2 linked regions of the Styela clava genome follow. The protein of the gene in region 2 interacts with the protein of the main gene of each other region in a pairwise test. Links are inferred from orthologs where the notes say so. Each region holds a gene or a part of one and is shown on either strand. Other genes may lie near its edges.

The links. The genes of interacting proteins can lie anywhere in the genome.
Region 1: the proteins of putative ATP-dependent RNA helicase DDX6 (region 2) and eukaryotic translation initiation factor 4E-like interact in binary tests that used the Drosophila melanogaster proteins (3 or more experiments, as listed by UniProt). The link is inferred for Styela clava from reciprocal best matches to the Drosophila melanogaster genes me31B and eIF4E1.

Annotation. Positions count from the first base shown.
Region 1 is NC_135260.1:20,083,942-20,091,432, forward strand, and holds the start of eukaryotic translation initiation factor 4E-like, read right to left. Parts: upstream 3,014-7,491; 5' UTR 2,955-3,013; coding exon 2,818-2,954; intron 2,544-2,817; coding exon 2,448-2,543; intron 1,816-2,447; coding exon 1,752-1,815; intron 818-1,751; coding exon 704-817; intron 233-703; coding exon 93-232; intron 1-92. UniProt on the Drosophila melanogaster protein: Recognizes and binds the 7-methylguanosine (m7G)-containing mRNA cap during an early step in the initiation of protein synthesis and facilitates ribosome binding by inducing the unwinding of the mRNAs secondary structures.
Region 2 is NC_135253.1:749,733-756,849, forward strand, and holds the start of putative ATP-dependent RNA helicase DDX6, read left to right. Parts: upstream 1-4,099; 5' UTR 4,100-4,352; coding exon 4,353-4,519; intron 4,520-5,391; coding exon 5,392-5,455; intron 5,456-5,594; coding exon 5,595-5,727; intron 5,728-6,197; coding exon 6,198-6,299; intron 6,300-6,818; coding exon 6,819-6,965; intron 6,966-7,117. UniProt on the Drosophila melanogaster protein: ATP-dependent RNA helicase which is a core component of a variety of ribonucleoprotein complexes (RNPs) that play critical roles in translational repression and mRNA decapping during embryogenesis, oogenesis, neurogenesis and neurotransmission.

The DNA of each region.
Region 1 (7,491 bases), on a different chromosome or scaffold from region 2:
GCATTAGTTGTTTATTTCTGTTTTCACACAACAATATCAAAAACGAACAACAGAAAACACTTCAAAACTTTGAGAAAACTAAAGCCACATACCCTATTTTAAGAATCACATCACGTCTATGGCAATCTGATGTCCATACAGCAATCTTGTCTCCCTTGTTTCTGACTTGAACTACTGCACCATTAACAAAATCTGATTCTGCTTCAAAAGATTCTCCAATCATACAGAGGATCTTGAGAAAAAGATAATTTATCACATCATTATTATGAGTATATCAAAAACTTTCTATTATTAATGAAATGTGCTTAAAAAACCAGGACCACAAAATGTCTTTCAAAAGCAAAAGCAATATGTTAAATTTTGCGGTAGGATAGTTGAGGATTATCATGTCTATAAAAATATAGAGAAAAGATGACAATACAGCATATCATATAGTGAACCACAGCTTTTCATCCGGTTACCAGTCCAAGCAAGGTTTGTAACATAAAATATCAAAAATTTATATAGGATAGATTTTATATTAATTTATATTGGGAATTAGAAATCTGGAGAATAATTACGGTATATGGTTAGGAGCTGTACACTGAAATTTCTGATAGTCCCAGCTCCAGTTCTAACCACCCATACAAAAACCCCAGATAAAAAATCGTAAATGACAATAGGATTTACAACTTATTATACTATATTTACAAGCCAAACTTACAGTTTCAAGCCACATTCTATCTAATTCTTGATATCTCTGTGTTTTGTTCAACTGAAACAACCATCGTCCACCATTTTTATTTGCTTCATCTTCCCACATAGGCTGCACCCCATCCTGCATACAGTGCACATATTGTAGAGATTAGGAAAAATTACAAACAACTTCATGAAATTATTGTGATAAAAATTCATTTTAGAAATTCAGGCTATCAAGAGAAAGAATTACTTATTTGATTTATATTCTGACTTTTTGCACTTCACATCTGTGTTAGACAAATTAGCACTATGCTTTCGAAACACTGGACAGGGCATTACACACTCTCTTACGCCCTGATATGCTGGAGGGCCAGAGATATTCAACCTGAGATACCAATAGGTAGATCCAATGTCAAAAACGCTATAATGCTGTACATTATAATAATAGTAATATGCTGCACAATTTGAAAGCTGGAAACATTGAAAAAAAAAAGGCGCCCCAAAAGTGTGTGAACCAATATGGAGGTATCTAATTTTGTTCACCTATTTTACATCAAGTTGTTAAAGGGACTGACAGCTATGGACTGGGGGGGTATAATCACTTGGCTAACACACACATTCCCCGAACTCATAATAGATAGAGCTAAAATAAGGAAAATTGGAATAAAATTATGGCCTAAACCTGGTACACACACTATGGGAGTACCGAAAAAAAACATAGCATTCCTGCAGGAACCCGCAGTTGAACTAAAAGTACTGCAAGTAATAACAACATAAAACAAAGGTTGAGATAACTTCAAACTTTAACATTAACAACTAACAAGGGAAGTTAGTCAAGCATTAACCAAAACCAACCAACACATAACTAAAGTCGCCCACACATTTAGAATTAGACTATGAGCAATGATAAATGAACATTTTCAGTAAGCATTCAGTTAAACCACAACCCCCAAGAGCCTTGTAATAGGTTCAATGTTTAAAAATGTTCTCAACGTTACAAAAGAGTCACAGCAGGATTACTGAGCAGATATATAGATATCAAAATGATATCAGTAGTATGACAATAACCATACCTTGAATAGACAATAGTCGCAGCCACTTTGCAGCTTACTAGAAAGTTGAATATGATTATAGATTCTGAAAATAGAAAACATTTGTGGTATAAAACAACTGATAACAAATATTATAACCATTTTGTTTTGTATTTTCATGGGGGAATCGCCAATACTGAGTTGTCCCATAAATTATTTAATACAGAATGACAATTCTTGCTCCAGCTATAAGCCTACAGAAGAAGGCAAGAATTACTAGAGCTATACACACTTTGTGTACTTTTACATCAGCTTGCATGTAGTACAGCAGCGAATTAAGATTCTTTTATGTTTATTAGTATGTCTTTACATGAGGTTTTGATCCTCATGAATATGTCTTTAAATGAGAAAAACTACACAAGTTAGTGCATCAATGAAATAAAGAAGGAAATATCAAAGAGAGACATTGCCAATTGATATTTGAGACAGAAAAAAACTATTTTGAATAAATAATCTTACCGGATAAAGGATAAACACTTAATGAAAATATACCAAGTAAAGATTATTCACATACTCAAATTTATTTTTGAAGTCTCTTGATTCAAATATTTCATTATAAAGCTTTGTTTTTGTATCCATAAAATTCTATATTCACCAAATATCAATAAAGTAACGCTGAGTAGGAATTCTTATCACAGAAAAAGTCTTGGCTAGAAAATGTAATAAAACAATACTTACGCCCAAAAATCTTCTACAGTGTCAAATTTAGTTACTAATCTTAAATTATCTTCCCATTTTTTGCTTCTATCATTTTTGAAAAACCAGAGTGCCCATCTAAAAAAACAGAATCATTACAAATGTATACTTGATCAAAGATCATTGTATTGGAAATTTCGTACACTTAACATAATGGTGACTAAAAATGTAATTCACTATTCCAAACAAATTTTAAAATTCTTCAGACTTTCGAATATTTTCTAATCATGCCATGAAAGCACAAAAAAGTCATTGTAGTCTATATTCAATAAGTACGCATACAAATTGTGCATAAAAATTAGGACAAAATATATCATTTGATTTCCTGAATTGTATAAGCAGCACAACATACCTGCTTTGCAGTGGGTGTTTGATAGCAGTTTCATCTTCTACAGTAACTTCTTTTGAATCACCTTTCTCTTGCTCTTTGGTTGCTTCTGGTTTTGCCGGTTCACCAGAGCTTTTAATATCAGCTTTCTTTTCGGACATAGTAAACTAGTTTTCAAAGTTATATTATTTGATGCTATCCTAAAAAATATCAGTTGGTAATCAATGGTGCGTTTTGTAGATTGCGCTTCATTTTAGTTTATTGTGCAGTGCCAGTTGGAGACCCGGACTGTCTCGTAAAGGAGGGGTTCACACTAAATCTTATAATTGATATCTTTCCAAATTCTAAGAATGTCCCTCATTTGGTTCAATAAAACAAACACTCCATGTGTCTCACAAACCAAAGGTGTCTGGCACGCAGCAGATGCGTCATGCTTGTCTCGATAATGATCTAAATTAATCCCAGCCGTCACATGACCAAAATTGCCGTTTTTTGCTCAAAACTCTCGAATGCCACGGTAGATATTTTTTCCATCGGTAAATGGGAATATTTTTTCCCCGAGGAATTCAATGATGACATTTTTAGATTGCCCTTCCTTGTGGTTTTTTGCTCAAATTCAATTTACTATATTTTAACTGATATTGGGGGACAACTATCGAACCATGTGCAGACGTCCCCCAGAGAAGCCGAAGGGGTGTCTAATGATCAGTAAAATGGGTCTCTATGAAACGAGACAATGTCGCTCGATCTGTATAGTGTGGTGTACTGTAGTATGGAGGCTATTCTTGTAATCCAATATTCAGAGAACTGTGCCGAACTAATTTAAGTAATTCGCAATAGTCTAGTACCGTACCGGTACTGAGTACAAGTTTTTCTAGGAAAACTACTTTTAGAAGCTCAAAGCAGTTCTCATCCTACAGTCCTACTGTAGACTACAGACCTTGCTTTGAACAAACTTATTAAAAAATATCTACAGATCAAAGGGATTTTCTTACCTAAAAATGATACAGTATCCATGCATATTAAGGATAAGGATAAGATTTACATATTTATCCTGGAGGAGAGGAAAGCCGATTTGACGGCTTAACCATATAGCGAAGCGAACCACGTCCTCTCGTCCGGTTACCATTCCATGTCGAGTACCGGTATGGGATTAGTTAGGTATTTGTTTTTCCGAAGCATGGACTTGATGGTCGAGGAAGCCGTAACCGACTAGCGGTTAGGTGAACCACCCAACGGTGGCAAGGAGTCCTGCAATCCTCTCGCACATAACCATGAAGCATGGGATTCAAACCTGCGAACACACGCAGAGTAATTAGAGGTGCGTAGCGAGCGTACCGTATTCCTAACGCTTAGCACGATGAGCTACACCGCCTTCTGGCCTTACTGCAGTACTGTATTACGGTAATGTACCATATTACATGACCCAAGTTCAATGACGTACAGGTACTGTAAATGTTTGTTGCGCGACTGCCTGAATTACAGCACAGGTAATCTACCGAATTACAGAATTAATTCAGTAATTACCGGTACCGTACCGTAGCGGCACGGGTACCGGTACCGTATCATTACTGCATTACATGAATTAATTCAGTAATTGTTGGGATAAAATATCGTCTTACTTCATTCTCTCTTCAATCCTCACCAGTTTCAAACAACTAACATTAATAGTTTCCAAAACCTTAAACTTAAAGGCCAGTTAACTCAACCGATTGTAATTAAACTGTGTAATACTGCAATAACAGGCAAAGCATAGAAGTGAATAGAAATAAAACAGCATGTAATGTCACGTGACCCGGTATTCTGGTATCGGTTTTTTCTCGAGAAATGCACTTCTGTCTGGTACATTGCCGTGAGATGTAGCCAAGTAGTAGTAGAAGTAAATCAGTGAATGTTTGCATCGAAGCCTTTACGACATACCTGTGTGAAAGTGCTTTTGCAATTTTTTGTTAAATCGTGAATATATCCTAATAATGTAATAAATTTTATATTCAATAATAACGGTAATCATTCACCTGGCTGATATCTCTTATTGGACACGTTTAGTGGCCATAACGATCGTTTCAATATTATGTTGTTGTTGTTCTTTGACACGTTTTTAAAAAATCGCTTTTCTCTTCGAATACTGGACCAATTGCTTTGAAATTTTCAGTGGTTAAAGAATAATTTCTTCGCTAGAAGGCTATTACTTTTATTTATTTCAAAATTTTGCGTGAATTCTATGAAATTTGATATTTCGTCTAAAATTTTGCTGTATTATTTTTTATCCATGGGAACACGGATTTTAGTCAGTGTCATGACTGGCTGTACGTTTTGATTCTGCAAAATTCTTGCTACTGGAAATTCAGAACTTTTTTGAGGGTACCGGTAGCGTCAAAGGTACCGGTAAAGACTGATTCGCTCTGGTCTAACGTGTCCATATATTTGTGCGTAGCTCTTTTGTTTGAATAACGCTGCTAATCTGGAGAACAAAATCGGGGGTATTTTAGGCACAAAAACACTTATTGACGGGTCTACTGCATTTGCATTATCAAGACGTCATATGACAAACCAGGAGTCACTTGTTCGCTAATTCCGCATCAACATTCAGTATAACAAAACACAGATCAACAGGTGTGATTCGCTTCGGCACTGTTTACTTTACATACACGTAAAATGACCAACGAAGTTCTTGTCGAAATATTCAAAATACTATATCGGGAAATATTCAATGACGTTGGGCCTCACGTTTAACAGATCACAATGCTTGTTGTGATTCACAACAGAATCTAAACGCACATAATGGTACACTTTGGTAAAGTAACATTCGAGAGTATGTTCGCTTTGAACATAATAACGCTCAAATATCAAAACGCTTCGCGCAGTTTTGTGGTACAAATGATTATTTGTTTATTCATATATAGTTTATTTTATTTCTCCCGAGATTATTTCATTACAATTGGGTATTCAATGTTCATGAAAGGCGACCAACAATTGTGATTTTTTTTCACTGTAGGCCTACAACGGAGTCACCAGAATTGTTATTCAGTTATCTCATACTATCAGCCTACCCTCTTCACAAGCTAACACTAAGCTGTTTTCCTGGCAATATAATATTAGAATGTTTAAAGTACAGTATCATATTATCCACTGGCGTCTTTCTTCAAATAGGGAACATTAAACCTCTGGGAAGCTAGCAGCAAAAAACGAAATTAAGACTGACAGAATCGCAGAAAATACCCACGCGTAAAATTTAATGTTCCCAATGATTTGTCTTGTTAAAATATGGTAAACAAGCATAAAAAAGGAAATGCCGGATTGAAGAAAGCAAAGAAAACGGAGGAGGGACGGTTTTAAAATTTCGAATGAAAAATATAATCATAAAAATTGTAAGCAGAAGCAAATGAATTTCTATCAGAAACTCAAAATTATGTCAATATTTATGGCGATTTTGGTGTTTTTCAAAGCCCAGCAGCATGTGGTTCCGGTCAAGAGGGGGTTGATTTTATTATTTTAAATTAAAGATATAGTCATATAGATTATAAGCAAAGTTTAATGAATTTCAACAAAAACTTATAAATTTTTGAATTTTTCGATTGAATTTCGATAATCTGACGCAAAATTGACGTAACTCATATATGGCGATTTTGGTGATTTTCAAAGCCCAGCAGCATGTGTTTCAGGTCAAGAGGGGATTGATTTTATTATTTTAAATTAAAGATAAAGTCATACAAATTGTAAGCAAAGTTTAATGAATTCCAACAAAAACTTGGAATTATGTGAATTTTCCGATTGACTTTTGATAATCTGCCGCAAAATTGACATAACTCATATATGGCGATTTTAGTGATTTTCAAAGCCCAGCAGCATGTGTTTCCGGTCAAGAGGGGGTTGATTTTCTTATTTTGAATTAAAGATATAGTCAAACAAATTGTAAGCAAAGTTTAATGAATTTCAACAAAAACTTGGAATTATGTGAATTTTCCGATTGACTTTTGATAATCTGACGCAAAATTTACATAACTCATATATGGCGATTTTAGTGATTTTCAAAACCCAGCAGCATGTGTTTCCGGTCAAGAGGGGGTTGATTTTATTATTTTAAATTAAAGATAAAGTCATACAAATTGTAAGCAAAGTTTAATGAATTTCAACAAAAACTTGGAATTATGTGAATTTTTCGATTGACTTTTGATAATCTGACGCAAAATTTACATAACTTATATATGGCGATTTTCAAAACCCAGCAGCATGTGGTTCCGGTCAAGAGGGGGTTGATTTTATTATTTTAACTTAAAGATATAGGCATACAGATTGTAAGCAAAGTTTAATGAATTTCAACAAAAACTTTGAATTATGTGAATTTTCCGATTGACTTTTGAAAATCTGACGTAAAATTGACGTAACTCATATATGGCGATTTTGGTGATTTTCAAAACCCAGCAGCATGTGTTTCCGGTCAAGAGGGGGTTGATTTTATTATTTTAAATTAAAGATAAAGTCATACAAATTGTAAGCAAAGTTTAATGAATTCCAACAAAAACTTGGAATTATGTGAATTTTCCGATTGACTTTTGATAATCTGCCGCAAAATTGACATAACTCATATATGGCGAATTTGGTGATTTTCAAAGCCCAGCAGCATGTGTTTCCGGTCAAGAGGGGGTTGATTTTCTTATTTTAAATTAAAGATATAGTCATATGGATTATAAGCAGAAT
Region 2 (7,117 bases):
TAAGTAGTAAGACCGCATAAAACCAGCCAATATCTGAATGTTTGTTAGTCTGAGTGAGGCCATAGCTGTATAGTTTCAATTGATAATTCTCAGCTTTTTGCTGATTTGGTCATTGTCATCATAATAGACAGAGAGGTTGATGCTCGGGGGAACATTCATTAACAGTGCAAACTCTGAAACCCCACAGTTCTTAAAATTCCAAGATGTCCATACATTTGGTTCAATAAAACAAACACTCTATTTGTCTCTGAAACGAGGGCATCTGGCATGATGACATTTGCGTCAGATTGCGCCAGGCCTCGGTATAGTTAAAAATTTTGTTTTTAAGCTAAATTGTGTTTTTAAGCTAAAAAAATTTCAGTGTAATCCAATGGTGACGTTTGTAGTTTGCACTTTATTTTAGTTCATTACGCAGTGCCAATTTGCCGCTTTGAGTCGATATGGAGGCTGTCTCGTAATAGAGTTGTTGCCGCTGGAAGGCTATTACTTTTAATTTTTTTCAAACATTTTTCTGAGCCCTATGAGAATCGTTTTTAACTTTGAATGAAAATGCCCTTATGCCACCGAGTGACAGAATAAGTTCAATAGTTATCACTCATGACATCGCAATCTGAAAACAACTCATATTAGCGCTATCTGAAAGTGGGATGGTCCTGACAGCCTGAAGGCGCGTGGTGAACATTGGTGTGTGACGATAATAGGGTAACTTATGTTAGGGTATGTGCCCATCTAAGAAAACTTAATACACCATATTAGAATGGCATTACTATTTCTAGCTACAAACTGCCTGTCTTAGATGATTCTTATTTATATTTCGGTGGAAAAATCTTTTAATTTTGTTTTTTTAGCCCTGGATTTGGATTTGTTAGGCATTTGTTCCACTGTGAGCCATTAAGCCATTGCTATTTTTTTGATGTCAAAACTGATCAAGGATAGTAGTTATTCGAAAAGTTTCCATAAAATCTGAAAATTTTTATTTGGGCTATTACAAGCAAATTTGTTCAAAAGTGCAGTGAAAGTAATTGTTTTGTATTTTTTATATCAAATAACACTTGTATTTTATTGGACTGCATTCAGTTCACTGGAAAATTTAAAATTTTACCCAGGTTTTTAATCATTTACACAAAGGGGCCTGAAATGTAGAAATTTTGATAAAATTGACATGTTTTGTGATGACTTGTAACACGAAGTGTTTGTTTGTCTGGTACAGTTATTTCGAATAGATGCACTGGACTTATGTTAATAAAGATTAAGTGTTTGCAGTGCCGTAGGACATGTTTTTACCTATTTAACGATTTATCGGCGCGGCGGTGTGGCTCAACGGGCTGAACTCGCCACCGCACCTCTAATTACTCTGCGTGGGTTCGCAGGTTCGAATCCCATGCAGGGATGGTTATGTGCGAGAGGATTGCTGGACTCCTCGCCGTCGTTGGGTGGTTCACGTAACTGCTGGTCGGTTACGGCTTCCCCCACCACCAAGTCCATGCTTCCGAAAACAAACAATATAACTAATCCCATACCCGACTTGGAATGGTAACCGGACGAGAGGCCGTGGTTCGTCATATGGATAAGCCGTCTTATCGGCTTTCCTCTCCCCGAGATAAATATGTAAATCCTAATCTTATCTTATAACCTGAATTTTAAGAGATGATAGAGGCCGCTGTTCCAAGGTGGAAAAATGCCCTGTAGTGTCACATATAATGTGCACATCATCATTGTAGATCTACAGTGTTACATTGAGTAGTTAACTTAAGTGTGTCATAGCGGGGTCATTCAGTTACTGCGCCAGAAAATATTGAGGGCTCATGCTGTACCATCGCGACAATTTACAACACAATGAAACGTTATTGCGTGGTGGACCTGTCGTCCCGTAGTGCCACGCTATATTTTTACTGTGTTTTTAATGAGTCTTTTATGTAACTTTGGTGCAGTTTTGTTTAAACCCCATAACTCAACTGATTGGGCAATGACACAAAACATGTAGCTGGCAATGTAAAAATATATTGCAAATCACAACATGCAAAATTGTTCCATAGAGTCACCGGGAATAACACATTTGGTGTTCTACAAAACACAACAATGGATCGATATTCGTAAGGGAAAAACTCAAAATCCAGATTAAGAACTAACAGTGTGTTTGTCCTTTCCTAATACTTGTAAGAATAAAAGTCTTTTTCTTGATATCACATTGAAATATCATTGCTATTTTTTGCTACTTGTAGCCTGTCTTGGGTAATTCTCTTTTTGTCTTTGGTAAGCTATTTCAGCATTTTGTGGCTCTAGTTCTGTAATTTGGATAGTTCTCTGTAGCTTTGATTTTAAGAGGGTGGGTGAATGGGTACATGGGCACAAACGCTGGTTACAGCACCTGTTATAAACCTTTCTCTAGATTTTGCCCATTTTCCCGATCTTTTCGTCGCCATTTTCTGTGTATTTTATTTTATTCATGTTCTGTTTTGTAGACAAAAGATCGAAATGAAATCGTATTGTGGGTATTTATCCCCATTGGCTTCAGCAGTATAATAAGTGTTATCGCCAAATATTTCCTATTTATTAAACAAAGTCAGCGGCCAGCTAGAGAGCCAGACTAGTAAAGCCTTGTCATACCATTACCAATGCGTGATATTTAGCATTGATCTTGTATTTGTTAAATGATGCACTTGGAGTTTTGTTTGCAGAGTTAAAATAAAATTTTTAGAATGGCCGGACCACTGTAATTTATATGTTTTGTGTACGACCCTTTGGTGAAAATAGTTGAGTAGCCCTGCTATGGGGTGAATCGCCGTAATTGCTTTTATTTAGTAAGTGCAGCCTGCCGTTACGGCTGTAGTTCGGTACCAATTCAACGTTTATTAAGCTGAGATGAAATTGATTTAGCTCATTAATAGCGAGTTTAACTTCCTTTTGAACAAGTTGCTACACCCCATTGCTTTTGTCTATGAAGAAAGAATAGAAGATTATATTGGCAAGTGAAAAATGAAAGCATAATGGAGCTTTTGATAACATCTATAGTAGTGCTTTCCAAACTTCCCATGTAGGTGATATATTTTGGCGACACATTCTGATTTAATGTTATTGTTATTTAAAATGCTTAACTGAAAAATGTAAACTTACAATTACAACATTTCAATATTTGATTGAATGAATGCAAGATGAATTCTGTCATATTTTATCATTTAGCATTTTCAACCTAGCATGTGCAATTGCCTATTACCATTAAATTTTACCCGAAAACTAACAAACTAGTGTAATAATAAATGCTGAATCCGATCTTTCACTTTGGCACCACACTATAGAAAACAGATCACTGGTGAATCAGTATGTGTCAAGCAACATATGTCTATCAAACAAAATAGCATCGTGGTGCTGTTAGCTCAATGGTAACAATTATCATTAAATGAAAGTAAGGTGTGCAAGCATAATAACCATATCTGTGGTCAGTGACCATTTCAGGCTAACATGTCTAACCATTAGATTTTGATACTTAGCAAAGAATGTTTATTGCATCATAAAAATGAATAAGGAAACTGCATTCCAGAAGACATCCCAATTTTTCAAGCACTGATATTAGTGTCACAAGTTCAAAGATGCACCATTGTAGTACAAGTTGGGAATATAGTTTGCTAAGCTCTTATCTATACAATAACTGAAGTGGGTCCATCAGTTTTTCATAATTTTCTTTTGTGTCAGTTGCTGCCAAACCTTGCCTTTGAACATCAACACAGATTAACCACTGACCGCCCCTCAATGCATGTACCGTAATCAAATATGGTTTGCTATTTAGATATTCGCACTTTAATGAAAAATGATATGACACTCATATTTTCTGAGCATGATATTTCAATATTACCTGTAAGAATATATCTAATTCATAGCTGATACTGATAGCCAGATGAAAATATATTGACAGGCAATCCGTGCATGCCCACTTTAGCACTTACTCTTGTTATGATCATAATTTTATCTTGTACTGAAATGCAGTATATTATTTATTAACCACACTGTTGCTTATAATAACCCTCAGAAATACTTGCTTATCTTAGTGATAGAGATTCATACCATTCAATACTGATACTGATATTCATCTGTATTTTATCTTATTTATTTATGAAATTTTATAGCATATTATGGAATGAATCATAATTAAGCAGTTATTTAAAGAAATTTTTGAATTTCTGCACAGTGCACTTCAGAGGAAACAGTTGTACATCTTGAGTTTTTTGTGACTTTCTAACAGAACATAAGTTCTACATTGACTTAACAATTTCTGTGGTGGTGATCTCAGGGAATTTGCGCATTGAATGCTGGTAATTTTCTACAAATTTATCGCCCCTGTGGAACAGATTTGAATAATGGCGAACGTTATGCCACCAACTAATCAGCATATGCCCTCATCAGGGCACAAATATTCTGCTGGTAATGGACCAAGCAGACAACCTTCTGCAAACTCAGTTCAAGGTTCTCGTCAACAGAACAATAAGCCTGTTGCTAACTCTCACCCTCAATCTGGCAAAGTTGGGTAAGCAGGATTTTTTCAACTTTGTTTTTCAGGAAATAGGTTTGATTCTATATCGCTACTTGCTTATTGCCTTGGACAGTAGTCTGTGGTTGATAGTATGTATGCAGTTGCAGTTGACAATCATTGACTAATTCAGTTAATAAATGGATAAATATATATATCCATATTTGTTTTGATAAATATCAGCTTAAAGCGAAGTCACAAAGAATACACTATAAACAAAATTATTATTATGATTGAACAAAGCATACTATTGAATGATTTTATGCCGGAATCGTCTCTAAATATTTAAAATCTAATGTTATGTTACATTAACATTCTCAAAAAAATTCAAAATTTTTCACCCTGTACTTTGAATTCATTCGAAATTAGATCGTGATTTAGCAAAAATAGTGCGCAGGAATCCAAAGAAGGTGTCTGTTTTACAATTTTTTTTTGTTTGTTCAAGAAAAAAACATAGGCTTATTATCTTGTATGATTTCAGTACTTAAAATGGAAGACATTCTTCGGTGTTCTTAAAATCAAATTTATTCTAATATTCAATTCATTTCATATGTATTCCTTTACATCTAATTTTGTAATTGGAATGGGTAAATTTATACATACCTTTGTCAGAAACTGATACCAAAAATATCGAAAAAAATTGATTATTCGACAGGATTAAAAATGGAAATGTATTATTTTGGGATTTCATATTGAAAGACTATAGGCCAAAAACTTGTCATACAATGCACATAACTAGACATGGCTACCTGCAGAATAATGTTGAAATGCTTATGAATGCAAGCTTTGGCCTGATAACATTTGCTAGTTATATTGGTTAACGGATTGTCATTCATTTGTTTCCAAACTTGCTTATTTATTTACATTAGGGAAGGAGAAGATTGGAAATCAAATTTACATTTGCCACCAAAAGACAGAAGAAAGAAAACTACTGTAAGTGCACTAACAATTGATGATTACACATTCGACAAGTATTTTACCTGTTTACATTTAATCGAAAGAAGAATGTTTCTTGAGAGACTTTTACATGATTGCCATTGCGAAGTTCTCATTACTTTACTTTATATGCCAGGACGTTACAGCGACTAAAGGAAATGAATTTGAAGACTTCTGTCTCCAGCGAGAATTATTGATGGGTATTTTTGAAAAAGGCTGGGAGAAACCTTCACCCATTCAGGAAGAAAGCATTCCTATCGCATTATCTGGTGAGATATTAGAATAAATAATCTTAATAGAATTTTTATCTAACTCTGTGGTTTCTACTTTTTTATCTCTTAAGAAATTGCTTTACACTTTGAGTGATAATAAATTTCATGTGAAGGATAAACCTATTTTTCGGCATCTATAACATTGTTGTATGTTGTTAGTTGATATAGTATAAGATACATACCTAAAATATATATTCAAATTAATTAAAACTTGAAATTATAATATTAGAGCCCAGTAACAGAGTGATAAGGAAATGACTAAAATATGACAGGTTATACTGTGTAACAGTATGAAATGTTTTAGAATTGGCTCGTAAAGATCTACCGTATATATTTATATGTACCAGTATATTTTTTTTGTGCTAAATTTACTAACTTCATTTGTCTTATTAGTAATCTGTTCAAATTGGTTCCAATGAATATATCAAGTCAGAATGTCTTTATTTGTGTATTCACTGTCATTCCAGGTCGAGATATTTTAGCAAGAGCTAAAAATGGCACTGGAAAATCTGGTGCCTATCTGATTCCTTTGTTGGAAAAATGTGATATGTCTAAAGATTATGTTCAAGGTAACACATAATTTATATTGCAATGTATATTTGTAAACAGGATATAATCTAATGATAGCCTAAATTAGTTTAAACTATAACATAAAACAGTATTTGTAGTTTCATTTGTTCCATTCGCTCTTGAAAAACTGAAATTTTGGTTGTAGATAATGATGTACTCTTGCTGATTGATAACAAGATAGGTTGTACTCTTGACTGGAATATACATGCAACAATAGTATTATGGTTTCATATTTATTTTGATTTTATTAATTTTATTTTACTATTTACTAGTGTCGAATGGTTTGCTGCTGTATGTGCAGTAATATCTGTAATTGACATTCTTAAAGCTTGTTCATATTTCGATTAAATGCATTGCTCAAAAAGTTGATCTCTATATTTTTGATACTGATAAAACAATAGCAGTATTATGTTCTCATCTATAGGCCATTACAATTCAATATTTAACATACTTGGTTTACTTAGGTATTGGTCATTTTTTGTTTACAAATGACAAAGCTTTCTTTTATGTTATACTAGCCATGGTTTTGGTGCCAACACGTGAACTGGCATTGCAAACATCACAAATTGCCATTGAAATGAGCAGGCACATGGGAAATTTAAATGTGATGGCCACAACTGGAGGAACCAACTTAAGAGATGATATTCTCAGACTTGAAAGCAATGGTAAGATCTTTTGGATAAGTAAAAATTTAGTTATAATATTAGTTCATCTATACTGTATATAAAAAGACTTTCCTTGCAACTCTTTGATCAAGCTGTGCAGAAAATATACCTTTTTCCTTTTGTCCCAAATCTCAAGAAACCAATAGGTACTT